4 linked regions of the Oreochromis niloticus genome follow. The protein of the gene in region 4 interacts with the protein of the main gene of each other region in a biochemical or structural test. Links are inferred from orthologs where the notes say so. Each region holds a gene or a part of one and is shown on either strand. Other genes may lie near its edges. The genes, in order: cldn8.1, jam3b, jam2a and tjp1a.

Evidence for each region.
Region 1: the proteins of tjp1a (region 4) and cldn8.1 form a complex in vitro, tested with the Homo sapiens proteins (2 studies listed by BioGRID and IntAct, with this or other methods). The link is inferred for Oreochromis niloticus from reciprocal best matches to the Homo sapiens genes TJP1 and CLDN8.
Region 2: the proteins of tjp1a (region 4) and jam3b form a complex in vitro, tested with the Homo sapiens proteins (2 studies listed by BioGRID and IntAct, with this or other methods). The link is inferred for Oreochromis niloticus from reciprocal best matches to the Homo sapiens genes TJP1 and JAM3.
Region 3: the proteins of tjp1a (region 4) and jam2a form a complex in vitro, tested with the Homo sapiens proteins (2 studies listed by BioGRID and IntAct, with this or other methods). The link is inferred for Oreochromis niloticus from reciprocal best matches to the Homo sapiens genes TJP1 and JAM2.

The regions. Positions count from the first base shown.
Region 1 is NC_031979.2:31,204,294-31,211,517, reverse strand, and holds cldn8.1 (claudin-8), read right to left. Parts: upstream 2,719-7,224; 5' UTR 2,569-2,718; coding exon 1,783-2,568; 3' UTR 504-1,782; downstream 1-503. Other genes in the region: claudin-8-like, read right to left, coding at 1-277; cldn8.2 (claudin-8), read right to left, coding at 4,287-5,174; claudin-17-like, read right to left, coding at 6,654-7,224.
Region 2 is NC_031975.2:3,977,709-3,985,293, forward strand, and holds the start of jam3b (junctional adhesion molecule 3B), read right to left. Parts: upstream 3,012-7,585; coding exon 2,870-3,011; intron 1-2,869. UniProt on the Homo sapiens protein: Junctional adhesion protein that mediates heterotypic cell-cell interactions with its cognate receptor JAM2 to regulate different cellular processes. Plays a role in homing and mobilization of hematopoietic stem and progenitor cells within the bone marrow.
Region 3 is NC_031986.2:11,215,863-11,223,554, reverse strand, and holds the start of jam2a (junctional adhesion molecule 2A), read left to right. Parts: upstream 1-4,683; 5' UTR 4,684-5,071; coding exon 5,072-5,120; intron 5,121-7,692. Other genes in the region: mrpl39 (large ribosomal subunit protein mL39), read left to right, coding at 1,012-1,086. UniProt on the Homo sapiens protein: Junctional adhesion protein that mediates heterotypic cell-cell interactions with its cognate receptor JAM3 to regulate different cellular processes. Plays a role in homing and mobilization of hematopoietic stem and progenitor cells within the bone marrow.
Region 4 is NC_031965.2:19,078,067-19,085,591, forward strand, and holds the start of tjp1a (tight junction protein ZO-1), read right to left. Parts: upstream 3,022-7,525; 5' UTR 2,857-3,021; coding exon 2,765-2,856; intron 2,546-2,764; exon of another isoform or gene 2,531-2,545; coding exon of another isoform or gene 2,499-2,530; intron 1-2,498. UniProt on the Homo sapiens protein: TJP1, TJP2, and TJP3 are closely related scaffolding proteins that link tight junction (TJ) transmembrane proteins such as claudins, junctional adhesion molecules, and occludin to the actin cytoskeleton.

The sequences.
Region 1 (7,224 bases), on a different chromosome or scaffold from region 4:
CTGCTGACAAGGCCACAGCAGAGCACATCAGACCCCTGGCAGCCTGTAATTCAGGGGGCAGATACAGCAGGGAGTCATAAACCTTACATTGCATCCTGATGTTGGCTTGTCTGTAGCAGTTCATCCATAAGCCTTCCCAGCGGGTTTCCATCACAATTATGTTTTCTCCGATGAACGCGGTCACCTTCCACATGGGCAACCCCGTGGTAGCCGATGCACCGATCAAGCCAACCAAGCCCACGCACATTGCAGCTAGCTCTGAAGCACCTTGAATCATTGTTCAGTTGTGGTTAAATCCAGAATTAGAATGGCTCTCATCCATAACATTTGCTTGCTGTACGAGACAGTTTGTTATGGGTGAGATGCCCTGCACTCACCTGGTTGGTTTAGAGGGATGAGGGTAGGAGGAGGTCTGCTTATTTTGTGTTTATGTTTCTCAGGTGATAGGGGTCAGTCGTTACTGTCTCCAACAGTGTACATACAAAACAAGACAACACCAACTATTTTTTTTAAATTTTAATTATTTGCCATGTTTTCTTACTCTTTATATGTGGTACAAATTAGAAGCAAACATTAATATGTGGTACAGTTTAGTACAGAGCATGTAGTTCTTATATTGTCCACAGGGGAGCAGAGATGACCTTTAGGATAGTGAAATGAGGGGGATCTCACATAACACAGGCCAAATACAGTTTGTTCTGTCTCTTACAGTTTAAATGTCTAAGTTTAAATTATGTACAGAACTTGTCAACATGTATTCATCATGGCTTCAGAAATTATTGCGTGAAACCTCAAGCGACAATAAACACTACATTGTCCTTACGTCACAAATATTTGCGTTACCCAACAGCAGTGAAATTACTGTTTTATTTTGAAGTTCAAGTTGTATAGTTTACATTTGAACTTACTAAAACTGAAAATAAGCAACCTGTTCGATTAAGAAGTCGTATTCTATTGAACAGAGACAGAAATGTTTAACACAGTCTGCTTTGTTTTCTATTCAAAGTGACTTGCAAATTTGGAACATATGATCATGCCGTTGTCGCTCTGCTTTTTTTTGTAACTATCTGGCTATGCTGCCACACCTTAAACAAGTATCCTTAATCCAGTATCTTGTTTTTGTGTAACTATTTCCTCTTTACCCAGCCAACTTAAACAGATTCAGGATTTTTTTGGTTAAGCAAACACCATAAACGTCCTAGTTTTGGAGGTATTTTAGATGGATGGCATTTACTTTCCAGTGAAATCCTGGTAATGAAAAAATGAAAACTGTTTCTTCTTTTCATTTCACACATGAAGCGTTATGTGTTTGTTGGTCTTTTCTAGTACTACTTCTACACCTGCCATCATTTAGTTATTACTTTTGATTTGAATACTAGTTGAAACTGATTAGTAATGATTAACTTTTCTTTTTTAGCAGCACAGCTCAGACACAGCTCATGTTTAAAGTTTAGTCATTTCAAAAAATATTTCTTAAGCTTTAAATGTAGTTACAACTACTCTTGTTTTTCAGAGATGACATGTCCCATTAACAAAGTGCATGTTTTAGAGTAAGTCAACTTTTTAATAATTTTCAGTGGTTAAAGATTGAATTAAATTGTTATATACAGCATAAATGTACACAATTTTTAAGCATTTGTATAAAATATAAGGCTGTTAGTATAAAATTTAATTAATACACATAATGTAGTAGAAATGGTGTATTGGTTCACACACATTTTCTCTTAAACCTGAAATGCATAGTTTCCGATCAATTAAAAAAACAAAAATAAAAATAAGTGTTCACAGAAACGCGACCCCACTGTGTGCACTGTGTACAGAGGGATATCTGGACTGGTAACTGTAGATAGACGATGGGTATCTTGATAGCATTGGCTGAGATCGTGGTTGGGGGGGAAGCGTCATCAGTTGTTGAGGTTGTAGAGGCTGTAGTGGCTGTTGAGGGTAGACCGAATAGTCTGAGGCCTTGGAGTATAGGTACCTCTCTGAATCTTTGTCATCCGACTGTATATTACAGCAAATAAAAATGCATCCTCCAGCAAACAAGAAAGCCGAAGTTACCCAGCCAATGTAGAGAGCTGCTCCAAGCTCTCTCCGCTGGGCATCGATCAGCAAGGGGTTGTAGAAGTTAGTGATGATGACGTGACCCGTCCAGGAGACGGGGATGAGGACACAGAAGCAACCCAATATGATCATGCTACCAGCAATGATGAGAACCAGCCGCTTAGCTCGATCATTGTTTTGGATGCATGATGTGCACTGCATGCCTATCAGACTGATCAGCACACCAAGACCACTCAGTGCCAGAGAGCAGCACATCAGCCCCCTTGCCGCCTGCAGGTCAGGAGTCAGGGCCAGGAGAGAGTCGTACACTTTACACTGCATCCTGAAGCTTGCCTGTTGGTAGCAATTCATCCACAAGCCCTCAAACAGAGTCTCAAACACAATGATATTGTCTCCAATGAAAGCTGTGACGCGCCACATAGGCATTCCTGTAGTTGCTGCTGCCCCGATCAGCCCGATTAGGGATACTAAAAGACCCACAATCTCCAGTGCTGAGTTTGCCATCCTGTTCTTCACTTACTCATCCGAGCTCAGAAGTGCAATAGTGTGCGGACAAAGTGTGACTGCTGTAGGAAGCAGTAGGTTTTCTCTGTGGAGTGGCTTTGCATCCCGATGGAGGAGGAGCAGGTTCATGTTCACCTGTACACCCTCCTCCCTGTGGACATAACACCAGAATGGGAGGTAGTGGGAATTGTGACATGTTGCTAGGAAACTGAATCCCTTGGGCCTTTAATTCTTTGTACAGCAACCCAGTAGCTGCTCTCAGCTCCCCGTTTGTTTACTCAGAAGTCTCAGTTTACATTCTCGGACTTCGCCTTAAAAGAAGACAAAACGATGAGGTGTTTCTTAACAATGGGGGCATGTTTAGAATCGTCAAATGTATCACTGGTAAACATACTCTGTTAATGTATTACCAGTTATAGTTACAGATCAAAAATCAGTTCTGATTCACTTCCTGTTTATTACTTAATCTTTATTTTTAATTGTTTACTGCTATTGTGGAGGGCCTCATGGTCCATGGGCATGTAGGGGAACTGGAGACGCAAAATAACACCAATGGACAAAACTCTTTGTCCCCCATTTTTGTAACGCACACTGTTAAAGACAGGAGCGCACAGCAGACAAGACAAACAGTGAGTCAGGGGAAGTCTGCCTCTGTGTGTGTGTATGAAAGATATAAGAGATGTGCAGTTTTAACAGAATATGAGAAGTAGTAGAACGGCGGGAAAAAAAAGAACAAAGTATGGCAAATTATGATAAATATTCAACATTTTTTTTGTACATTTGATAAGTACATTTTAGAAGTACCGTGAAAAGGAAACAATTTGTACGTGTGTGTGTGTGTGTGTGTGTGTGTGTGTGTGTGTGTGTGTGTGCATTTGTATTTTTTTTTTAATATTCTTCTATATTTTGGTTTGCTTTAAGGGTGTCAAATGTTAGAAATGTATGACTCAGTACTGGATTTCTTGTCTGGGTCTCTTGTGTGACTCTGCTCTCAGGGAAAAAAAAGCAACCAATTCCTGTTTGGTTGAAGTAAAGTCACCTGGTAGGTTTGTACAGTGGGTGGATCTGTGTAAACAGCCTGGTTTAACCAGTTTAGGCACATTTCCACCACTACAATAGAAATGACATATATTTCCATTTGCTCACTAGTGAGTGAAGAAAGTGCAGTTTCAGTTTGAGGTTTTGGAAATTTACAACAAATTTAAGCTCATTTGGCATCACTAACAGTGCTTACATTATAACGCACCTTTAACTTCTTGATCAGCTATGTCCTGTTGTGTTAGAGATTGGGGGGAAAAAATACAACACGATTCTCTTTTACAAGCCATGTACTTTATTAGGAAAAAAACAAATTTGGCCAGAATTTTGAGTAGGTCAGAAACTGTAAAGAACGCAATATCAACATACAATTGTTGTAACATTAACAGATGTAATAGATTATACATACTGTGCTAGAACATAATTTAGTGTGAATTAAGCAAAAGGGTAAAAAAACAAACAAACAAAAAAAAAAACCCAAACAAGGAATATGGAAATCCAGCACAGTTTGTCAGCATTGAAACACATTCAAGTCCATAATGATTTGGAGTATTTGCAGTACACTTTGCTAAGTAAAGAAATATCTGGTTGTTTCAAGTGAACGACAGTTAATCAGTTCTCCTCATCAAATGTGCCAAATTTTGGCAAGTTTATTTTTAAAAAAAAAAGTCCAAAAATCTTTAGTATTGACTTGGTGCGTATATCACAGATCCTGGTGGGGCTGCAGAGTAAGCAGGCTGGTAGGCATATGCTGGCTGGTAGGTGTATGCTGGCTGGTTGGTGTATGCGGGTTGGTAGAGGCTTCCTGTGGGGTTGTATTGAATCATCTCATCTGGATCTTGGGTGCGGGGAGCATGGCGGCAAAGCAGGATCACTCCGGCACTGAAAAGCAACGCTGAAGTCACCCAGCCAATATAAAGAGCCTCCCCGAGCTCTCTACGCTGGGCATCGATCAGTAGAGGGTTGTAAAAATCTTGGATGATGACATGGCCAGTCCAGGACACGGGAATTAGGGTTGTAAGGCAACCCATGAGGAACAGGCAGCCACCAGCCACAAGAACAATATGCTTGGTACGAGCCCGATGGTCCACCACTTTTGTGCATTTCATCCCCACTGCTGAAACAATAAGGGCGAAGGTGGTCAGAGCCACAGAGCTGCACATCAGACCCCTGGCAGCCTGGAGATCAGGAGGCAGAAACAGCAGGGAATCGTACACTTTACATTGCATTCTGATGTTGGCTTGTCTGTAGCAGTTCATCCACAAACCCTCCCAGCGGGTCTCCATGACAATAATGTTCGCGTCAATAAAGGCTGTTACCTTCCACATCGGCAGGCCCGTCACAGCTGCAACGCCAATTAGTCCAATGAAGCCAATGATGAGAGCTACTACCTCACAGCAGATAGCATTTCGACGCTTCCGTTTCTCAATTTTCTTCTTTTCCTCATATACAGAGTCCCCATACTCTCCATACTCTCCGTTTGTCAGCGCCGGCTTCCCATCGTAGTAACTGCCAACATAAGATTGAGGTGGCTTGCTGTAGCCACTGTAAGCAGTGTAAGTGGCCATTCTGGCTAACACAGAAAGCTTAATCTCAACCTCCTGGTGCACTTATACAGCTGAAGAGAAAAATCTGAGGAGAACAACAAGTTGAGGAACTTATACACCCACAAAAACTATGCTAATGATGCAATGCAGCCTTACTGGTTAAGCTGCTTCAGAGCCATCAGATAAATGGCGAGACACAAAGGAGTTGCTTGTTTTGAATACCTCCAGTACTAATGATCAGTCGCTAGTTTTTAGTTATTAAAAATCACTAAATCTTGTTACCACAGTAACAACAAGGTTTAATCAACATCATATTTTAATAAAATCAAGCAAAAAAGTCAAAGTTAATGAAAAGTATGTAACATATTTTTAATACTACACGGAAATACTTGACGTAATTTTAGAAAACATTTAGCATAAGGAAAATGTATTGTGAACATAACGAGTAATATCTCAGTACTATTACATGTGCTAACTTAAAATTAACTAATGCAATGTGTGGCCAGTTTTATCATTTGAAAGGATTTGCCAGATAAAAATGACTTGCTATAAATGTTGAAAAAATGAATAAAACAAATATAACAACTGTAGCATCCAGCTACACTAATGGGCGTAGGAAACGACGCCATCTCACAAACAGAAAGCTTATAGGATGATCACAGATGTGAAACACACTGCTTCTCTACACGTAAGATGAGCTGATGAAAAGGTGTTGCACACAGAAACCTGAGGAGGAGGACCTTTTGTCATTATCACACAGGGTCATTCCCTTGTTGCAGCCACAGAAACATTTTAGTTTCTGCTCTGTCCAATGTGAAAATGAGGCACTTCTTCATTGGCTGTTTTCACTTTTCCACCTTAGGTTTTTAGTACAAGAAAAATATCTGAATGGAGTGTTGGTTAAGTATTTGCGTTCCACAAAAAAAGTAGAAATTCTATGAATTGAATCACACAAACAAACTGAATTAAAGATTTTAATAAATGATCTGTTCACTTGGTTGGCGGGATTATTAGATCATGAAATATAATGAAATAAGACAGTGAAGCAGTTGCATTTGTCATGTCTCAGATGAGAAATTCATCATTAAGCACAACAAAAATGACTTAAATAAATACAAAAAATACAGACTTGCATCCAAAACAAGTACTTAAAAACAGTGATGACATTCTCAGGGTCATTGGAGCAAGAGCTGGATTAAGATTGAAGTTGATTGACGATAGCCACTGCAAGCGGTGTATTGTTGCTCAGAGTGATAATATAGATTTGCCAAAAATTATATTACTTTAAACACAGGCACTATTGTTTATTCATGTACAGCATATTACCCAAATATTTTTGCTGCATCTGTAAACCAAACAGTGCAGACAAGACAAACGCATAGTACAACAGAGCATGATTACATGATTGATTTAAATATATCATTGCAAATAAAATACATGTTGCTCATAAATATATGGAGAGACATCTAATATGTAATTAGTACACTGCAGTACAGGTATTTACACATATTCCTGATTTGAATGAAAACTAGATTTCGCTCTCGAAAAGTCAACACTGTCCGCCTTCTGTTCATTCCTTTTCACAATATGATATACTTCAATGTAGCGCTGATCTTCCTTTGCACTGCGTTTGCTGTACCTAAACAGCACAATGATCCCGGTGATTAGCAAAACACCAGAAGTGGCCCAGCCAATGAAGAGGGACGCTCCCAGCTCCCGCTTCCTAGCATCCAGCGTTTCCGGGTTATAGAAGTTACTGATGACAGTATGGGCCACCCAGCTTACGGGGATGAGTGTGGTCAAACAGGAAAGTAGAAACAGACTCCCTCCTAATGCATAGGTGATGTTCTTACTCTTTAAATTGTCACCACAACAGTTGCTCTTCTGGATCCCGAATCCTGTGAGCAACAACGAGATGAAAGCCAGGACTATGGAGACACACATGAGCCCCCTCGCTGCCTGCAGCTCTGGTGGGAGAATTAACATCGAGTCATACACCTTGCACTGGATGTTGATGTTAGCCTGTCGGTAGCAGTCCATCCACAAGCCCTCCAAGAGCTCCTCCATGACA
Region 2 (7,585 bases), on a different chromosome or scaffold from region 4:
TTACACTCCATGTCTCAAAGAACCCTAATTTCAAAATACATGAAAGTTATGTTCTGTTTGCTTTAACTAATTATTGTGGAAATTAAAAATCAGTGATTTATTAGTCGATAATGATTCATCTTATAAATCATTACACACTGCTCTTCCCTTCATAAGCTGCCTTTATAAGTTAAAAGCACTGGTATCAGTATTGGTACTGGCAATACTGGCCCTGTATTAGAGCTGGGCGATAGAACGATAACGATATGTATTGCGAAATAACTTTTTCTCGATAGAAAAATTAAACTATTGCGATAGGCCTCATCTCTCTTGTCCTCTTAAAAAAAAAAAAAAAGAACAGCCAATCCAAATTAAGTAGCGCAGAGCCGAACCAATCACAGCCACAGCGTCACGTCATGTGACTTGTTACGTACAGCACAAGTGCCAAGGCGCACATGTGTATTTGTTTTTGCAGCCGGGCTGCCCGGGTAATGAAGGAAAGGAGTTTGCCGATTAGAGAAAAATCAACCGAGAGCGTGAGCGAAGGTTACCGAAGAAAAAACAGATGATGGTTCCAATGCCGGAGAGATTGTCGAACGGAAGGGCCACAGAAGTTCCGTAGTGTGAAGGTATTTCGGCTATTTCAAGTCTGACAAAAAACAGAGTAGCGCGCACTGTAAATTGTGCCGAAAGCAAGTCTGGAAATACAATAAAGCGGTGCATGCTCAATCTCTGACTGAAAGCGCTAATTCGTCATTCGGCTTTTGTCAGACTAAAGTAACTGTTAAAACTGTTTGAAAAGCTAAGCTATACAACAAGGAGAGATTGAGAATTTCCTTTTAGTTCTCAGTTTATTTGATATTGACAAAAGTTAGTCAATTTTGTCTGTTCTTCTGTAAAACGACCTAAGATTTATTTTTAGAATTAATATTTTGTTTCTAAGTGGAATTGACAATTTAGTGGTCTGTTTTGTTTGTTCTATTTTGAAACTTGCCTTTTGTGTAGTTTGCAATATTTGCCTTTATTTATCTGAAACTGAAGTCTCATGTTCCTTAAGTACATCTGTTGAACTTATTATGGGAAATAAATATTTTAATTAAAACAAGCTGCTAATTATTTCACATTTTACTTGTGAGCAACGGCACATTTAAATCTTACAAATATAGTTATCTGGCTTATATTGTGATATATATCGTTATCGCCTGAAATGAAAGAAACATATCGTGAAATGAAAAAATCTTATATCGCCCAGCTCTACCCTGTATTTATTTGGTATCACACACCACTACCGTGCAAGGATACTTCCACTGGCAGTGGGTTTAACATGTTATCTGCATCGAAGGAGCCGTTTCAGCCATCAAACTTTTTTCCCACTAGACATTTTTGAACAGTAACTTTAAATCAAACCGAACCTCAGAGACTGGCCTACCATTTTCTAGCTTCATAATGACTTTGCTCATTGGTGTGTGAATCTTTTCACGGAGCAGAGGATTTATTATTGTCCTTTCAGGATGTTTAAAATTTGTTTTTCTGGCTGTGCAGAACGGACTGCTGGATCTGTTCATCTTTGTTTTGGTTTATTCTTGTCTGCTTTGTGCTTCAGGGTCTGATAGTTGGAAGACAAATATGTTTAATTAAGTTTCCAATTGCATTAGATGAGTGGTGTATTTATTGAAAATCAGACTCAGACTTGTTAAATAAAAATGTGTATGAAGTATACTAACAGTTGGTAGTCTAGTACCCCCCCCCCAAAACCACCACCACGCAAGCGTAAAAAACCTTTCGTCTACAGCAGCACCCTCAACTTCAAGGTCCTTCCCCACGGCTCTGAGGAAATAATAAATTTTAAATTTATGTCAAATCATATGAATGAATATGACTTATTTGTCTTATGACCAATATCGTCAAACCGTGTGAGGAACGTGTAAAGGAACTGGGAGCTCCCGCATGAATATTTAAACAAATCGCTCCGCTCTTACAGGTGTCTGTATTTCTGTTCTAGGTACCGGACTGATAAAGTTATGAGGACTTTCAGGTGGATACGGTTAGCATAAAAAGAATTTATTTTATTTCGGCTGTGTCGGTTCACCAGCCGTGTCGCGGTTTAAAAGCGTTGGAGTGGAGGAGAAGGATGATGAGGAGGGGGGTGGAGGACGCTTTGCTGGTCTGCCTGGCTCCTCCCGCGGTCAGCCTGCTTTTATTCCGCTGTAGGAAAAATCCGTTATCTCGCGTCAGTACTTCCAACATCATCACCGCAGCTTCAAACCCGCGTTAAATAGTTAACGGCACGAGCTACGAAACCGCCTTAATTCATGTTTAATTTCCCAACGAAAAGTTTGTCTTCATGCTGTAGAGAAACTTTTTCAGAGGCAGGACACGCGCACACAGAAAACGTGTCGGCTTAGCGACTCCAAATGTGCCGCTAAACTGAGGATCTGAACGTTCAGCTCAGACAGCCCTGCTTTCCTCATGTGTAGTTACATGTAGATATCTGTCACTCCTCTTAACGGCGGCAGTATTCCAATAAAATCAATAGTTGAGAGTAGTCTGAGCGATGTTTTTCAGTAACAATGAACGCTTCAAACAATCACTCCAGCCGTGCATTTGCCAGACTCGCGTTGACATTAAGTTAAAAATGGCGACTATTTTGGTCACTTCATTAACTATATTTACTTCACGTCGAAGGGACCGAACTCGCTGTCAGTCTGGTTTAAGTTTAACGTTAGTTGAGTCTACACGGTTACTTCTGAGGCACTCTCTTTTCCACTTACTGTTGGTGTAAAAGAAAAATCGACCAAACAGATGTAGAAGTGGATGGCATTTGGCGGTCACCTTCCTCGAGCGGATAAAAGACAAAGTAGCAGCCGGTTAAAATAATTTTTGTACTTACACTGAGTTGAGAGGAGAGTCAAGAGCCAGGCCAGACGTGTTTTCGCCATCTTGGAGTCGATGCAATGCTCTATTTGGCTGTCTGTACATGCGCAAAGTAGACTGAAGAGCCTTGCTGGGGATGGAGAGAGGGAGAGAGACATGGAGATAAACCGGAGAGAGAAAGAGAGCGAGAGAGCGCGCCAGGGAGGAGGAGGAGGGGGGGGTCTATTATATTAGGTTTCCATAGCTACCGAAAGCATCACTCACACAGACAAGAATTTATAGTTGACACAATGTGGGAGGCCCTCGCTACTGTGGCTTATGCTGTAGTTATAGTTACTTATCTGCAGTTGCAGATAAATAGCCCCAGCCTTTTGTGTACTGTATTGTTGTTTACAGCATTTTGACTAAGAAAATAATAATATCTGGAGTTTCCTTGACAACATTAAAAATGGGGTAATATTACTACAAAAAACACACATTCACAGAAATTAAAGGATTGTAATAAAACATGAATCTACAAGTACTCTTTCAGTTCTAGAAGAATCTATCATGTGTGAAAAGCTGAGCTTGACACTCTGTTACTGTGACCAGTAGCATACGGCCGGCTTTAATTAAATATTAACTTTACCTGGCCAGTCCTGCTCATACCTGCTTGCAACTGTCATCCCATTGACAGCTGCCGTATTACCTTGTTCACATGAAAGAGCAACCCCAGTCTTGTATGTCATGTCTGTGATGACAACTGGTGCAGCCTGAAAAATGCTATACGAACTGTTCCGGTTCCTTCAAACTGTTTCACAACAGCAAAAATAATCTCATATACTTTAAGCTGCTTTTGTCTTTGACAGGATCAACCAACATTTGCCAGTAATGGATCTCATAAAAGCCTCGTTTAAAATAAGCACAGTGCTCACTGTGTACATCATTACTGCAGCAGTTATATCTAATTATAGAAGTATGTCTAATAATGCTAGAATGCATTTGAATTGTATTACATAACATCAAAATCTGTAATTCAGGCAATATTGTGGTATGAATCAGGTGTAGCTGTTTCAACCACACTCTTGTGTTCAGGCTCTGCTCTCTAGGTTTGTATTTGGAATCTGTGATGATGTAGCACTGAAACTTGATTTTCAAAAAAGGGGCAATCAAAGCTTCTCAGCGTTCCATAAGCAGTGTTTGTAGACTAAGGGAAATAACAAATAATATGTACAAACCCTCCTAACACCAAGATTACAAAGTACTAATAAGACATAAATATCAATCTATAATGTGCATATAAATACTTTACTTTAATGTGCATCTTCAATACCGTTTGGGAACTTCAATTATGATGTATGAGATGAAAATCTAAAATCTTGCCTTGCCTAAATTTTAACATAAAATGAAAAATAAAAAATAAAAATCAGAAATGAGATTATGCTTGTTGTTGACAAGATGACATAGAGCTTATCTCTTTTGTTCCAGGTTTTGTTTTTATTATTTATTTAGTTTGAAAACTCAATCTTCTCAGAGTCATCCTGCAATATCCAATATGATATCATTTGGCTATTTGTCCCCACTTTTTCTTTTAGTCAACATAAACTTCCTTTTTCAATTCGTCATAGAGCCTCAGGGTGCTGGACTTCAGTTGGACTTCCCGTTTGGCAACACTCAGCTAGTTTTTAGCTTTCCTGTATATGTGCTATTCTGCCTTCTTGTAGCTCCACCTGCAAGCATTCCTTATCCAGTCCAAATGACTGGACAATGAGCTCCCGTCCTCTCCTTAGCTCATACAGGGAGTGCAGAATTATTAGGCAAGTTGTATTTTTGAGGAATAATTTTATTATTGAACAACAACCATGTTCTCAATGAACCCAAAAAACTCATTAATATCAAAGCTGAATGTTTTTGGAAGTAGTTTTTAGTTTGTTTTTAGTTTGAGCTATTTTAGGGGGATATCTGTGTGTGCAGGTGACTATTACTGTGCATAATTATTAGGCAACTTAACAAAAAACAAATATATACCCATTTCAATTATTTATTTTTACAAGTGAAACCAATATAACATCTCCACATTCACAAATATACATTTCTGACATTCAAAAACAAAACAAAAACAAATCAGCGACCAATATAGCCACCTTTCTTTGCAAGGACACTCAAAAGCCTGCCATCCATGGATTCTGTCAGTGTTTTGATCTGTTCACCATCAACATTGCGTGCAGCAGCAACCACAGCCTCCCAGACACTGTTCAGAGAGGTGTACTGTTTTCCCTCCTTGTAAATCTCACATTTGATGATGGACCACAGGTTCTCAATGGGGTTCAGATCAGGTGAACAAGGAGGCCATGTCATTAGTTTTTCTTCTTTTATACCCTTTCTTGCCAGCCACGCTGTGGAGTACTTGGACGCGTGTGATGGAGCATTGTCCTGCATGAAAATCACGTTTTTCTTGAAGGATGCAGACTTCTTCCTGTACCACTGCTTGAAGAAGGTGTCTTCCAGAAACTGGCAGTAGGACTGGGAGTTGAGCTTGACTCCATCCTCAACCCGAAAAGGCCCCACAAGCTCATCTTTGATGATACCAGCCCAAACCAGTACTCCACCTCCACCTTGCTGGCGTCTGAGTCGGACTGGAGCTCTCTGCCCTTTACCACTCCAGCCACGGGCCCATCCATCTGGCCCATCAAGACTCACTCTCATTTCATCAGTCCATAAAACCTTAGAAAAATCAGTCTTGAGATATTTCTTGGCCCAGTCTTGACGTTTCAGCTTGTGTGTCTTGTTCAATGGTGGTCGTCTTTCAGCCTTTCTTACCTTGGCCATGTCTCTGAGTATTGCACACCTTGTGCTTCTGGGCACTCCAGTGATGTTGCAGCTCTGAAATATGGCCAAACTGGTGGCAAGTGGCATCTTGGCAGCTGCACGCTTGACTTTTCTCAGTTCATGGGCAGTTATTTTGCGCCTTGGTTTTTCCACACGCTTCTTGCGACCCTGTTGACTATTTTGAATGAAACGCTTGATTGTTCGATGATCACGCTTCAGAAGCTTTGCAATTTTAAGACTGCTGCATCCCTCTGCAAGATATCTCACTATTTTTGACTTTTCTGAGCCTGTCAAGTCCTTCTTTTGACCCATTTTGCCAAAGGAAAGGAAGTTGCCTAATAATTATGCACACCTGATATAGGGTGTTGATGTCATTAGACCACACCCCTTCTCATTACAGAGCCTATACAGCTTGGAGTAAGACAACATGCATGAAGAGGATGATGTGGACAAAATACTCATTTGCCTAATAATTCTGCACTCCCTGTACTTATCCAGTTCAAATGACATCCTGAGGTTAGGTGGATCAGATTTGAATATTTTATTTAGTCTCGGCCTACAGTTTGATGTTCGCCTTGTACAGGAGGTTGCTGATGACCACTTCACTCCTGAATTCATATCAACTCTTGGTAGTGAGCGGACTTGGGGGGTTAATGTCTATGCGGAACAGCAACAGGGACAGTACGTCACCTTGGTATAGCACACAATTGATGGTGATTTGTGTGTTGTCTTCCACAGTCCCAGTAAGTCCCTGATGAATGTTATTAGCACACCAGTATCCACATGTGGGGCATTGAGTTTCAAGTTTTTCTTGTAGTCAATGCCAGTGCTGTTCAGGTTGGTCTGCCTGGCCTTGGAGTCTATCAACCTGCTCTGTCAACCAGGAGTTTTTGCTTTGGCCCTCTGGTATTATTTCCAATGTAATTCTGAGCTGTACCCATGTATTAGGTCACATGCACATACTCAGTTTAGTTGCTGTGATGCCTGAGAGGAGCTTCCATATTGTGCCGAGGCAGGTAATCAGCTAGTAGTTTGATGATATTGTACCCTTGCAAGGATTCTTAATGATCAAAATTGTCCTGCATTGTCAGGCAATCATGGTGTGCTGTGAATTTCTCCAGCCAGGTCCGTGTGCTGTCCAGCTCTCGATTCCAAAGACTCATTGAGATATTGACTGGCTCTTGGTCTGGGAAGTTGCTGTGGTCTACGCTTAGGTCCATCAGCCACTTTGCATTTCTATCAGATATTTCTCCCTCTTTCTCCTGGATGTTATTCCAATATTACTCAGTTTCAGCTTCGGGTGGGTCTGCCTTTGTACGATTATTCCCCTCGTAGCTGAGAGGACACTCTGGACATATCATTGTAGACCATGGAATTTATTAATTTAATTTAATTTAATTTAATTTAATTTAATTTAATTTAATTTAATTTAATTTAATTTAATTCTTTTTATTTTATTATTTGCTTCCGTGTTATATACCTTGAGCCTAATGATCACAACTGTGAGCCTTTGTTTGGCAATTTCTAAAGCCTCACTTATGAATATCTTGTTGTACCTCTTTTTCATTAAGCTCACCTTCTGCACCGTAGTTAACATCCTTCCAAGCTTCCCTGATTTTGGATTCCAGCCTTCTTCTCCATAGGGGGTTTGCTTTACTCAAATCTTTGATCATACCCAAATGATTCTAGGATTAGTGTGGCAGTAGCATATGTGAGTAGTTTCACTGATACTGGTAGCGGTGATGGTGCTTAGAGCAATGTTCACATCTGCAAGCATCTCCTCTGAGATGAGCCACCTTCACTCTGGCCACAATCCTCATCCTTAGCTCAGCATCTGTCATCGTGTGTGGCTGGGCATCATTTAGTCCAGTTGCACTTTCCAGCTTCGATATTAGCTGTCATCTATTGATGTTGTTGTACAGAG
Region 3 (7,692 bases), on a different chromosome or scaffold from region 4:
GGTCCGATGATTGGCCCGGCCTTTCTAACAGTTTTATTTTCTTTCTCTGAGAGTTTCCTTGGCTGCGTTTGGGAGCATCTTCTCCCTGTAATGTCCACCCTCGTTTCATCTTCATCATCCTGGTAGATGGAAGCAGATTTTAATTTGTCCATTCATCCTTGCTCTAATTATATGAAGGAAGTGCCATATGCTGAAAAGCAGCCCTGCACCATGATGTCCCCACCTTCAAACTTCACTGTTGGCGTGGTGCTTTTGGGGTGACATGCAGTGCCTTTGGACTTCTGTGGTTTGATTTCTTTGTGTGTGTGGATTGCACCTTTAGAAATATATTTACTTAGAAAATAGGTGACATGTTCAATACTAAAACCCGCTGTACAGCTAGACAACAGAGAGAGAGAGACTTCGGTTATCTAAATGGACTTGTTGAGGTTCATTCGCTGGGATTACCCGAATGTTTTTCTTTTAAAACACATACTTTTTGGTTATTTATGTGTTGCATCCATGCTTCTAGCTCTTCTAAAGATTGCCTCAGAAGGCTCATAAAGCCTCTGAATCTTGCACTGATGTCAAATTGTCTGGCCTTTTTGACGGGCGTAATTTGTTACATCATTAAGTTGAAAGATTAGTGTTATTTGGTCCACCCCCAGTATGTGCCAGCCTACAGACTCTCCAGGAACAGGTTTATAAAAACAGCGAGACGTGGGCGGATGCGTTTTGTGAGCCGGCTGCAGGCAGTAGGGAGGCCTGTCCCCTGTCTGCCTCCAGCTGGCGCTCCAAAACACCACCGCCCACACTGCAAAGAGATTCTTCCAAATTTCCCCCCACGGTGGGCATCATGCCCCCACAACCCACTACCACCACTACAGAAGCTTTCTTTTTTAAAATATATGCAAAAAGATATTTTAGCCTATTTCTAATGAAAGTAGGATGGAGAGGGGATGCAACGGTCTTGGAAGTAGATCAATTTTAGTTTCTCTTCTCTCTGTTTTCACATTTTTGTTTTCTACACAGGTGGATGTGCCGGGTCCTGAAGTAGCAGCTCCACCATCTCCTCCCAACTCACCTCAACTTCCAGCCAGCCACTAACCACCTCTGTAACCCTCCACGTAAACACTTTAACTGATTTGATCATTTGTTCAATAAATGTATAAAAATATGTGAGAAATCTCTTGCATCTATTTATTTTCTTATTCAATATTGCTGCAAATTGAAACAAATGGCAGTATTGTTGCGCAAAATGCAGCAGCCTTTGTATTCGGCGTGATTAACAGTCATGATTGTGGGTGCGTTTGTTCTTGTATCAGGAGTTTTGCTTAACAACAAAAGCCGTGTGCGTGCATGTGTACATGTGTAAATTGGCCAGAGGTCAGGCAACAGTGCATCTGTTGCGTCTATCACTTGGCAAACAGGTGGCTCTCAATCCTCTGAGTGCGTTTGGCATGTGTGAGCAAGCCTGAGGATTTGAGTCATGAGGCAGCATCGTTTCCCTTTTTTTTCTTCTTCTTCCTTGATTCGTGGTAAATTGACACGGTCGACAACAACACTGAGATTTATGCAAGAGCTACATCATCGTTTTTTGAGAAGTTGCAATTGTAGCCTGAAATCTAGGGTCTTCGATACTTTAAAGTAAAAACATTCCTTTATATGCTTTAAAATTAAAAGAATCTGCAATGAAACATTCTGTCTGTTAAATTTGCTACACATAGCTGTAAATAAATTATCAATAAAATTGCAAAATAGGGGAAAAAAACTGAATAAACAAAATTGACATTTTTCACAGAAAGTTTGGTGTTTATAACGTAAACTGCAAATATTAGTAAGCTGTCAAAACACAGTTAACAATTATAATTAGTGTAATTTCACAGACTGTGTATTTTATAATTGTGCTGTTTATTTTAAAATAAACCATAAAACTGTGACGTTATGGAGAAGGAATAATAAAAATTCTGTAAAGATTTATTCTTAAGGCATGCATAAGTTTAATGAGATTGAACAATAAATGTTAATTGGCTGTGAAATTACAGACTTGGATCATTCAATATAATTTTACAAAACTACTAAACTCTTCCATAAACAGAATAGTCTAGTCATGTAAGACCAAACAAACAGTATTTTTGTAATAATTTCATTTTTTGTAACGTAAAAATAGGTTAAATCAGGAAAGTGATGCAACCAATCAGATTCTTTTGTTTTAGTTTTGATTAGAAACAAGGTGTAAGGGGCGGGCACTTGCAGATCAATAACTGTCAAATCTGAAGGATGCTTGACGGACTTTACACAGAGGGACACTTACAAGGGGACAGTGTGGAAAAAGTTCAAACAGATAGCCAGCAACATGGAAAATTTTAATGGGTGGAAAATGGACGGTTTATAGATTGAACCAGATGTAAATGAAAAGCACTGTGGGCGTGGCAACCTTCTAAAATTGTCTTCTTACTACATAATAAACCTGACTGGTAACTGTAGCAATTTTAAGCTTGGTTGATTTTATTGTAGCAGTATTTTATCGTATTATTAGATATTTGTTTATCATTTTTGCACATTTAAATGCAATTTTAAAAAAATACTGTGTAAACTTAAAGCTACAGAACTAGTTTCCAAAACGAGAAAATTTCCATGTTTAATTAAAATGTCTTTATTTTTCCGTGATCGTAAAGCTCCGTTATTTCACTGTGTTTTTCTGGCACACCAGATGCTGCACTATTACTGTAGGTGGCTGGAGGGTGGGGGGGTTGTTTTGGTTTGTTTGTGTTTTTTTACAGTGTACACAATCTTGTTTAACATCTGTTTATTGATTCGTTCTGGTAAAGTTCCCATATTTGGGATACATAAAGTATGTCTTATGTTTAATGGCTTCCAGTGACAAGGAAAATTGATCCCTTCTTTGGGTGTCTTTAGATCATTTGAGATTAAAAGTGAATGCCAGGAACCATAAAACAGAAAAAACGCCCATTTCTGGTCAAATTATTATGTTTGTTTCTCAGTAACATTGAACTTTTCCCAAATTGGATCCAGGAAACAATGTAAGATTGCGCAAAGTCTCTGGCCAGAAAAGCTCCAAACTATGCAGCTGTTGTCCCATCTCAAGCATCCTGCTGCTTCTCCCCCACCCCCCCACCCAAAAACACCCTGACAGTGTGTGAGACACACCCAAACACACATGCCTCAGACTCAGTCCCAGTTGAGATGTTTGACTCGGTGCCCTGATGCCCTGAATTCCCCTTTCCTGCAGCACTTTAGAGGTGTTTAGGAACTGGTGCTGCTCAGATGATTAAAATTGAATAACTACAAAAATACTGTGGAATGATGCATTCTGACAAATGAATTTATGTCCTTCTGTTCTCCATTTGTTCAAAAGGTCTCTAATGCAATCTGCGTGCCTCGCTGAATCTCTTGAGTAATTGTTGAGGAATCAATGCTCTGCTGATGAACAGTAATAACCCGTCTTTCTCTGGATATAATCAGCATTCAGCTTTCTATAGAGGAAAAAAACTATTGTCATGCATTTCAGGTTTAATGAGAATTACTTTGCTTAAATAAGCTTTTGATTGCACCATACTTTAAATGTCAGTGCTTTTTTTTCCCTGTTAAACACTCGTTATTCTTTAAATCCATCCTATACAAAATTACAAAATTGTTCTTAAAAAGATCTTGAGCGAAAGCGTAATCGGGCAGGATCACTTTCAGAACCGCTTACAACGAGACCTCATATGAAATCCAAGTGAAATCATGAGCTCATTCTCACAAAACATAAGGGAGGATTTTCAGAGTTGACGAATGAATAACTTGAAAGAAAATTCTTTGCCCAACAACTCACATGTTTTCTGTTATGGTGGAAAAGCTGAAATACATTTACTGTTTTTCAACCTTGAAGGTGCCCGGCACAGTTTTAATGACGCCACCCTTCTGCTCTTTAAACCCAAATTAGTCACAATACTAAGAGCTCATGTTTACAAGATAAATGCCACTCTGAATTTAAGTGGACCGGACCAGTGAAACTACATGATAAATGTGTAAAATTGGAGAAAAAAAAGTTCTTGTAGGTCAGAATATAAAGTTTTAATCAATTTACAGAAAATATTGGGGTTTGTTTTTGTTTTTGTACTGTGGACATACGGTGTAGTATGGTGATAATCATTAAGAAAAGCTAGCTGTAAAGTCTACAGTTCAAAATCTACACGCAATGTTTGTCAGGTGGGCCAAATTGGAGTCTTTGCTGGGCCTATTCTGGCTCCCGGGCCTTATGTTCGGCACCCCCCCTTTCTCAAAAACGCAAACGATTTCAGGTCTTTACAGTTCTTTTAACTCTTAATTCTTAGTGTTGCATCTCAGTGTTTGTCCTCTGTTCCAACAAATCGCCTGTTTCATGATTACTGAAACCAAAGAGATTTTTCATCAAAACTGTTTAAATACTCCGTAATGATTCTGACTGTTTCTAACAAACTTGACTGCAACATCGAAGAAAGAAACTGTAATATGTGTGTTTCTACGTGGAGTGGGCCTCAAAGTTCAGCATAACTCGCGGGTCTCCCTCGGGGTTCTGTATTAAGGGGGCCACACCTTTGCTGCCACCCCACCGCTATGCTATGTGGCCACTTGGCAGTGCAGTGCGCGTCTTGGACACGGCGCTGCGCTCTCGGCGCTCCGCCGCTCTGCTCATCAGAGCTCACTCCGCCCTCCCTCCCTCTCTCCCTCCACCTCAATCTCAACCAGCCGCCCAGCGAGAACAGAGAGCATCCATTCGCGTCTCTCTGACAGTGACAGAGGCTGCTCGCCATTGCTCACCGCACTTTTCAGCCGGGACGTCGATCTCGCTGACTGCTCCGCGCAGAAGTTGCGACTTCACGCTCGTCTGTTTCTCGTGCCAGGAGCTGAGCGCCGGGTCGGTCCGGTTGCTTGACACACACGCACACGCGCGCACAGACACCCTCCCCGGAGATCAGTTTATTCCCTGGATGCTGGGTGAATTATCCGGGAGTTGCGAACAAGTGAACAACAAAGCCGAGGCTCGGGATCTGCCTCCTCGCTCCGTCCTCCGAAGACGAGACTCCAGCCAGAGTTGGGGACGATAATGATGTGGACGTCCCTGTATCTTCCTGTTGTGATTTTACTGATGCAATGTAAGTGGAAAATGGAAAGTGTTCATTCGAAGAAGTTGCTCTTACAGTGTTCCCTTTTATTTACTTTTCAGGACGAGGGAGAAACCATTACGAATCATTAAGAAAACCGATTCTTTAAAAGGTGCTTGAAAGCCTAGATGTTTATCTTGTGGGGAAATTCTACTGATTTTCACTGAAGTCATAATACAGCGTTGGTCTGTTTTCTATAAACATGATTTGGAAGATGAATATATGGAGGAATTTTTCATTTCACGTTTTTTCTTTTTTGGATTCACGTAATTGTTGATTTGCAAGCGCCCCCCCGGTTTAGTTGAACCCCCTCCGATAGAGTGGGCCGTGGTGACGGTGCAGCCAGGCTGGGTTCCTACAAGCTGGCCCCAAAGTTGTATTGGCCTGGTGCCACTTAAGGGTGTGGGTGTTATGTTGGTGGCGGGTGGGTACCCATTTTTGGCAGAATAAGCCACAGATCTGCGCGTGAGGTCAGCGTTTGGATTTCTACCAGAAACTTCAAGCTGGTTTTCACCGTGACACGGAGTTTGTTTGTTTCTTCAGGGGCGGTGGGAGGGAAGAAATTGGGAACACAAAAAGTTACACTTTTAAATGTATTTTAAGGCGAAAATAACAAGAAAACATCTCAAGTGGGCTGATTATCCTGCACGGAGACGCAGGAAGGAAGAGTGCTGTTTGGGGCTTGAGCGTGAGATGGATGTGATGAGACAGTAAGAGTGAGTCACTCACATTTTACTCACATTTCGCCACCTGTCAGGACACCGGGTCAGAGTTCACAGAGCTGTGTGTTTTCAGTCCCGCTGTGATAGAAATCACTCGTCATGTGGCTCAATTGATGGATGTCAGCAGGTGAGAAGAGCACCATTGAGATCCCCCTCCCCCCTCAGCTCCACTGCTACTTGTACAGTGCATTGTTTAAAAAGGAAAAAAGAAACAAAAGAAGTAGAAGAGGAAATGTTTTGGGTGGGTCTCTGGCAAGTGATCCCGAAGCTTCCATATCACCTCTTCTCTCTCTCACTCTATCTCTATCTCCCTCTCTCTCACACACACACACACACACACACTCACAAACAGTTTAAGTAATACCCCCAACCTCACCCTCTCGCACACATATATCCACACATCAACTCCCTCATATCAACCTCTCTCTCTCAGACACACACACTCTCTCATGCTGTGTCTGTCTGAGACAGCTGTTGCTCACAGTCTTACAGTCATACACAGACTGGCTTTGTTCAAATGGAGAACACACACACACACACACACACACACACACACATGCCCGCACAGTCAGTCGTCATCCTGTTTTCCTGCGCACTCCCCCTCCACAGCCTTGAAATGTGTTTGCCCTCCACGTTCATGTTATCTACATCACGCAGGCAGACAGGATATTTCCTATGGGTCCATCTCCCTCCCTCTTTCATTTGTTCTCTGTTAATTTGAATAAGTGCCTTAATTATTACTGCGCCATGCTTTTGACCTCGGCACAGCCCTGGCAACACCCGCCTCAGTCTCTGTAATACTCAGAACGGACCGCGTAATGAGAGTAAAGCTGAGTGCCAAGGAGTGAGCGTGCCATCCTTCTATTTTTTGCTCAGGGAAGAGGGTGGCTGTCCCTCCTGTGAGTTTAAGCAGTAGCACTGTTTGATTGATGTTAATGCCATGCACGACATCCGTGTGTGTGTCTGTGTGTGTTTTAGTCTTTTTCCTTCCTGTGTTGGTGCTATTGTTAGTCTTTCCCGTGCTTCAGAACCACCACAGGCCCACAGAAGCAGCATTTTAATTACCGCTGTGGCCAAATCCGATGCTATATTGGAGAATCACCAGAGACCTGCTGCTGTGGTACTTATTATAATAATCTTTTTCATCTGGCAAATCTAGTGCAACGCTGCAGCCCCTCATTAGGCCATTTTGCTGTTCACTTGACCAAAGTAGTTGAAGTCCACCTGGATTGGTGGAAAAAGTGTAAAATGGAGTTGATTTTCAACCCCTAGTGGTCCATACTTATGTACTGTGTAACTATGTATGACGACACTGAGTAGTTAGGATACTCAGCACTCGGTGCCGGTAATAGTCCTGCTAACTGGAAATGATGTTAACCCAAATCAGTCTGCTCTGTCTGATGATTGTTTTGTACTCATCTATCAGGGCTGCGTGCATTAGCTCCTATGGATGTTCCAGTTTTTGGCCAACAATCAAGGTCAATCCTGGAAGGCGATACAAATCTCTTTGTGACTCGGTCAGGAAAGGCGGTGTAAAAATCAGCCAAATGAAAACATGTGGTGCACTCTGAGAACCTCCGCTGACTAACGGAACAATTTGGAGATGTTTTGTATGTCTTATAAGATTACGCTGTCCGTTTGGATGCAAATGCCAGTCATTGTTTAAAGCAGACCTAATTAAGTCCCAGCTCTTTAACTTTTATTCTTGGACTCTACTGCACTGGCTTTGCATGGATCACAATTCAAGATGATCCTTATTTAGCCTTGCTGTAGCACAAACAGCAGCTGCCAGGACTCAAAAATTAACATAACATCTAGATGAGCAAAAGTCTGTCCCATAG
Region 4 (7,525 bases):
ATACGTGAAGATGTACACAAATCTTTGCAAGTTCTGCTTACATAAAACAATTTTTGCCACTAAAATCAGTGAAGAATCCTGACAAATATTTGTGATCTCAATATTGTACAAAATAATTATACGACAGTCAAAATTACTCCAACCAGTTGCAGTACTGTCGCAACCACGACAGTACTGGAGGCAGTCGCTGTCCAACCTCGATGCTGAGATTAGTTAATCGCTCTACACGCCTACTTGATCTTGGCAGCAGTTATTTGGGACGTTATCGCTGCAGCTCGCTGAATTTCAGACATTTTCGTTGTCTCTGGTCGCGACATCACAGCCAGTCCTGTTCTTACGCTCGTTAAGGAACAACATCTCCCATTACCTGAGTGCAAGTGAGTCTGATATAAATCATGTATGAGCTAGGTCTTCCAGCAGCAGCTTATTTCTGCGTTGTGCAATCTCAACCTTGTGGTATGAATGGAAGGAAACCAGACCACTTACTCAACCTTTCAGAAGACGCTGACATTTCATTTAGTTATGAAGATACAAACTGTTCAGCCTGGCTTCTTCGGGTGTTTAAATTCCTTTCTTGTGTTGCACGAGTCAAAGAGTAAAGTGAATGTAAAGCAATGCATTTTTCCCTCTGGAGGACTGAAATTAAGAAACTAACTACTTCTAAATATGAAAGCAGTTATATAAAACAGATTGAAGTTGAAGCTACAACTCGTCAACTGCTATTAGCTCACCGGTTGAAACACATCAGGATTAAACTTCTATGATGCACAGTGATCACCTAAACTTGGGTCATTGCTTTGGTATTCCAACCTAAAGTCACACCTTACATTTTTAAGCATTAGCTCAGTCTTCACAGCAAGCGAGTTACTTGTGTGCACGTGAGCCTACTGACTCTGGACTCTGACTTCACTGAATAAAGACGGAAATGGCAGGCAAGAGAATCCAAGGGTGACTCCATGAAACACACACTGCAGCTACACGCTGGCTCAGCTACGCTCCGTTAAAGTGGCTGTCGGAGGCGATACAGTAATCCACTTTTAATGGCCGTGTCCCTTCCCCCACCGTGATGTGATGGCCCCGGACATACCACTGCGCCTCTCTTAAGGGAGAAGTGTCAAAACCAAGTCACCGCTGTGCGCTGTCCTACATGTTTGACAGTGGTTGGAGAGGAGCAAACCTATCCTTTCTCCCATGTGAGATCATTTCTGATTCAAAGTAATGGACCCATTTGCTCCCACATGTAGGATGGACCCCCTCAAAGCCTTGCACATCCTACGCAAGGAACCAGAGTTTGTCTTCTCAGTGTAAAGCAGTGCAAATCTGTAAGGATTGTGCTGGGTGCTTAATGTTATCTGCGTGGATTACAGTAGAAGAAAGACTGAATCTGCTCATTGTGATAAGATCCTATAATTAGACTGAACACCACTCTGCTGTGTCACGTTTTCTTTTTTTGTTCCTTTTCTTCTTTATAATGCTCCTTATTTCAATTAGTAAAAGAAGCGTTCTTCACAGTTTCCTTTATTATGCCCTATAGTGCAAACACATTCACAGTGTATCACAGTATAACAGCCTCTGACAGGTTGTCAGAAGCCAAATAAGGTTAAGGCAGTAGCATCTTGCGCCCTGACACCAACTAATCAATTCATCGAGTGCATAAAGAAATAGGTCAGTTTGTCATTGGTATCATATTTAAATCATCTTTGAAGAGAAGCTCAGTGCAGCATTATCAAACTTTTGTTCAGGTAAATTTTAATAGTTTTGTGATGTAAAAAAAATATCTGGAGTTTATAAATGTTGACATGATTTCTTCAAAATATCTTAGTTTGCTGTCATCTTGTCATGTAGCTGTGAAAGCTAGAAGCAGAGAAGAGAGATTTTGTTTCGTTTTGTTTCAAAAAAGAAATCTTACAGTATTAAAGCATCCTGGGAACTTTTGGAGAGAAGGAAAGCGATGGGGAATTAATTGCAACAGAGGTGAGATGTAGAGACAGCTTTCTAAAATAAATTTTAAAAAAGTCTTTTGCTTGTTAAGTTTTGCTGATTCATCCGGAAACACCAGAGAACATTTTTAGACGGATAAATGATATCAAACGTGGACGTGTATTAAACTAGGTGGACATATTTAAATGGAAACGCACGGAGACGTGATCAACCAATGAGAGTTAAACACCAAGCACCGCTCCTACACAAATGCAGGTGGCAAGAAGCTGCTAAATAAGAGATGAGCGTTTTTTGGGTTTTTTTTACTACTACACGTGATCGCAGAAATAGACGCGAGACCAGAGAGCTGCTCGGAAAACTGAAATCGCCGAGTGCGTGCGGGTAAAATAAGAAAGCGGTGTGTGTCCGCGTCGTTTCACTGTTGCTGTAAATCCACCTGCTCTGTTTCGTGAAAACCTCACCAGCGGATCATAACACTCAGAGACCACCAGGAGGAACACGGAGAAGGGGCGATTGCGCACTGTTCACCCCTCTCCTCCTCCTCCCCGCCTAAATACCTGCTGGGTGTCGATGTCACCGGCGCGCACATCAAACTGTTGTTGAAGGCAGAGCGTCACAGAGGCGGATGGAGGCAGTCGCTTCCGCCAGCAGCTGCTGAGCTTCAACTTCACAGCAGACATAGCAGAAAAGCGCGACTGGAGCTTCTCAAACAAGACAACAAAGCCCAGAGGTTCATTTCAAACCTGCTTTCCCCTACGCTCCACACGCACCAACACACGCTCCGAACCAAAGCGCGCACCTCCTCCTCTTTGTCCATACTCACCACAGCTGTCTCTTTGCGGGGAGGCAGTCTTTGTTGGAGGCTGTCACTCCCATGGCCATCTGCATCACCGTTATATATTTCTGGTACTTCATCTTCTCCTTCTGCAACTCCTGCTGCCGCTTCTGCTGCTGCTACTTTTACTACAACTACAACTACTGCTGCTGGTGCTGCTACTTCTAGGAATCCGCGCGCCACCAAAGCGGCACAGGTGAGCGTGCATTCAAATGTCTGTTATTGTCCCCTCGCGTCATCCGCGGCATCCTCGGTGTCAAAAACGCCATTTCCACGCTGGAAGCACCGCTGACAGGGAGGACGTTCCCGGAGGAGTTCAAGGAAAGGTGCCACGCCGCCGCGACCCATGTCCGCGCTGACCCTCTAATCTCATTAGAGCTCAGAATAGATTGGCTAATCTATTCAATTTTAGTCAGGACCGGGTCATTGTTGTGGTTTGCCTCGTATGGCGGACACTTTCCCGGCCGCCAAACCGTGAAATGCCGGTTTGTTTGTGTGGAGAAAAAGAGTCGAGGGAAAGAGGCGGTTCAACAGTGAGCGGTAGGATGCAGCGGCGACGGCACCCAAGCGTCTGCGAGGTAGGAAAGAGAGTGCGCGTGTGTTCAGCCAGAGAGGGAGAGAGCAGGAGAGTGACACAGGAGGAGGGAGGGAGGAGGAGAGAGGAAGCCATGTAATGGCTTTAGTGTGCGTGCGTGTGTGTGTGTGTGTGGAGGGGGGGGGAGACGTCGTCTAACTGATGCTTAGAGAAATCCCAGGATTGTAAAACTGAGAAGGTGTGTTTTCGACCTTGTTTTCTGCGAGATTGGTCCATTAAACTGAATTAAAGCATGGGGTGGATTTAAATATCATAAAGTGGAGGTGGAGAGGAACAAATCAGCTCATATGGAATTAAATAATCAGGAGGCAAGTAGGTGACCAGATTTGGTAACCTGGACCTTTAAGTATGAAGAATGAAAAAACCCCATGTATTACAAAGGAGAACTATTCCTGTATTCCTGTGCCTATATAAAGACTAAAAACATAAATGCAGATGATACAGGAAACCAGCTGCCTTTTCTGAGCTTCACACAAAGTGGAAAAAAACTGTCCTCCAATTGCAGGAGTCAAAATATGTTGTTTTTTAATTTATTTTAAACCATTGAGCTCATATTTTCCAGACTAAAGACAAAGAGACCAATGAGTACAAAAGCCAGCATCCATCATTTTATGAGGCACATCTGACCATGAAGCAGAGGTAAGTTGCAAATCTGTGAAGGCACCATGAAAGCTTAATACAAGTTGTGGCGCAACATTTACTAATGATGTCGTTTACTAATGACCACGCTCTGCATGTATTAAAACATCATGTCTGTTGACCAATTGTAAAAATTATTCAGTGCAATTAAAAATACAAAAAATGATGCTTTAGACTAGGGCTGTCAACCATAAGGCCCAGGGGCCAAAACTGGCCCACCAAAGACACCAATTTGGGTCCCTGGGTGGCTCTCGAAAATGTGAAGGAGAGCATACATTATGGACACACCCCCACAGTCCCAGAGCCATTCATATTACACCAAATTAATTAAGTAATAGATAAACAATTAAATGACTAAAAGTTTGTTTTTCACTGTCTGCTACAGAAATTTGTGCTTTTTATATGGGTTTACATTAAAAAAAATATTATTAGAGGGCCGTCTACACAATGAGCTACCAGAACTTTTTCTGTCATTTTACACATTTAAGCCCAATGAGTCATGCTGACAGATTTTTCTTTATCATGTAGAAAAAATGGGATGTGCTATTGAAATTGTACGTCTTTTTCTTTCATTAAAATACCTCAGGGATCGAATGTGTAAAGTTGGTAACTCTGAGAAAAAGGGGTGTTTCACTGGTCCCGCCCTCGTAAGCTCAAAGGGGGCCATATGTGGTAACGTGTTTGACATCCCTGCTCTACACTATTAAAGCCGAACTCGTAAGTCCGCCTGGAATAGGAAAACATTTTGCTTTAAATACTTCAGTATTATTCTCTCCACTTCCCAAGTTCTTTTTTTGTTTTTTCACAGAAGAGGTGATAAAACAGTGAAAGAAAACACTGTACCACCATTTTTGAAACATATTACTGGCAATAAATTCAAAATAAGCAACAACATGTTGTATTTGTAATATTTTCAGTTAAATATAGAGCTTAAAAGGTTTGCAGACTGTTGCATTGTGCTATTTTTTTTAGACATTTTACTCCGTTTCCAGTCTTTTTTGGAAGCATGAGCTGTGCATTAAAATCTTGGGTCATCTTAAACCACCACACAGCTCCAACTGAATAAAATGGACAATCAACATTACTGTAATAAGTAAAAAATATATATCTCCTCTTAATTTATTTTAATATACTTGCTAATGGTGCATATTATACACACATAAATACATTGTTCTTTTACATTTTCCAATAACTAGATTAAAGAATATTATAGTTAACATTATAATGTAGATATTATGATGGATTACTAATGTGTTTTGTTTTTAACATACATGCTATACCTCCTAATGCCATCCATACTAAATGCAAGGCTGAGGTTACACTTACTTACTGTTAGGTCTAATTGTTGAATGTTGCCATTGTGTTTCTTAAATTTGTACAGTCTTAGTTCAAGCAGTATTATCAAAGCTATTCCTTTGATCCTGAGCACCTCTAACCACTTTGTGTTGGGGGAGGTTTTATAGCAGATACATCCTATCTGGAAGATCTACTTCCTTTGATGTAAGCTTCCTGCGTTTACGACCCTTTGGTCAGCAGGAGGACACACACACACACACACACACCTGCATGCATATACATACAGTGCCTTGTCTTTGTAACCAAAGGGGGTTGCGAGGGGAGGTGTTTTGTAAACTATTGTTTGAAGTTTGTCAATAAAAGCCAGCGAGAGGAGGCCCTCATCGGGGTCACTTCCATGCTGGACATAGACGAGGCCTCCCTTGCGCAAGTAATCGATCGATCGCTGACTGTCTTGTTTTCATTCATGATGAATAAGTCTCTAGAATTAGCGGGGTTTGTGGGAACAGACCCAACACTTACCCTTTAGGTGCTGATAGTTCACAGAGTGTCTACAGATGATAATCAATTCAGTGATTGATTCGGTGTCAAATTTAAATGCCCAGTAAATACAAGTCTTTAGTGAGACCTGAAAGACGAGGGGACGCAGAGGAGGCTGTGCGCTCATGACCTAAGGAGGAGTTACTCCCCGTGTGCGTGACATCTGTCAAACAAGTGAAATGCATTTCCCAGGGCTGTCGAATAATTTAGATTATGATGTAACCATAAAGAGAGTTCACAGACTCCTTCTGCATAAACCCCTTGGGCAGGACCACTTACCATTAAAGAATTTGGCAATGAAGCTGGATTGCATCCTGCATATTTTATAATGAAGCTGCATCACGAGGGGAAACAGCATGTCCCTATCCCTGTATTTACATATTTGTTCAGACTAATAAACAGAATGAAAGATGGGAGAAGGACTGAGTATAAACCATAGTCCCCTTGAGACGGCCCATGCACCAGAAAAAAGCAAATGTAGATATAAACTCTATCTTTGACCAGCAAGCCAATGCAAAGCAAGCCAATGGAACCAGCAAGCCAATGCAAAGGCAGGTAAATTTTGGATGGAGCAAGCTGGTGAGCAGCTGGTGGGGAAGGTCAGGAGGAAACTGCTGTTATCAGCACTGCTTGATATTGGCAGCTCTGAAAACAACAGAAAATTCACCCCAAAAAACTGAACACAGCCTCTCATGAAACTCCTCTGATGTTTATTTACAGTTCTTGGAGTTGGGAAGAGGATTAAATAAACATGTACACACATACACACACCAGCGTGCCAGTGGTCTGAAGGAGGGTGAGGTCACCACAGCAGTGATATGGTTTTAAGCCAAAAAGGACAGCGAAAACTGACGCACGGTCCTCAGCAGGCTGTCGATATTCCCTTTAATCTCTGGTATTAAACGCAATTTACTGGCTCCATTAGCCCCAAAAGTTTAAAATAGATTCTCTGGGCCTCACTTAGCTTCTTCTGCACTCATTTTATGGCCTCAAACATAAAACTACACCTCCTTATATAGCCACAGACAAAAAAACAAAACAAGGCTAACTGTCCCCAAACCCAGCTGCCACAGATGTGATGTTATGGTGGGTTAAAGAGGGATTGAAAAGAATGCTGGTTTGGTTAAGAGTGAGATTTCCCTCAGGAGCAGCAACCATCCAAATGTGTTGATCCCCCCCCCACCGCCATAAATTACACTATCCACTGGCCCCTGGCCACAATTAATCACATGACCACAGCAGCCAGATTAAATCTGTAGCCTTGGACTGCTCTCCTGTCTCACTCTTGCTCTGCCTCTCTTTCATACCAAAAAGCAGACAGCAGGAGCAGACACATGGACCACATCAGCTGAGCATACAGCGGCAGATTATTACGTCTGAGTAAGCACAGAAAATTAGTCACCGAATGGCTGATGCGTGTCATCATTCACCTGTCATCTGTCTCTCCCTGCTCTGAGTGGTGTCTGTACAGCTCACAGGGACTGCCCCAGTTGTTATTATAGACCGCTTTTTGAAGTTTCCTGTACTCACATGCCCTTCAACGACAGCCAAAGAAGGAAAAAAACACTGCCAGAGGCCAAATTGTCACTTTTGGAGTGATGAAGAAAATCAGTTATGTCTTTCTGTAGTGGAAGTGTGAAATTTAGATGTGAAGAAGCAAAAGGCAAAGCAGGGCGATT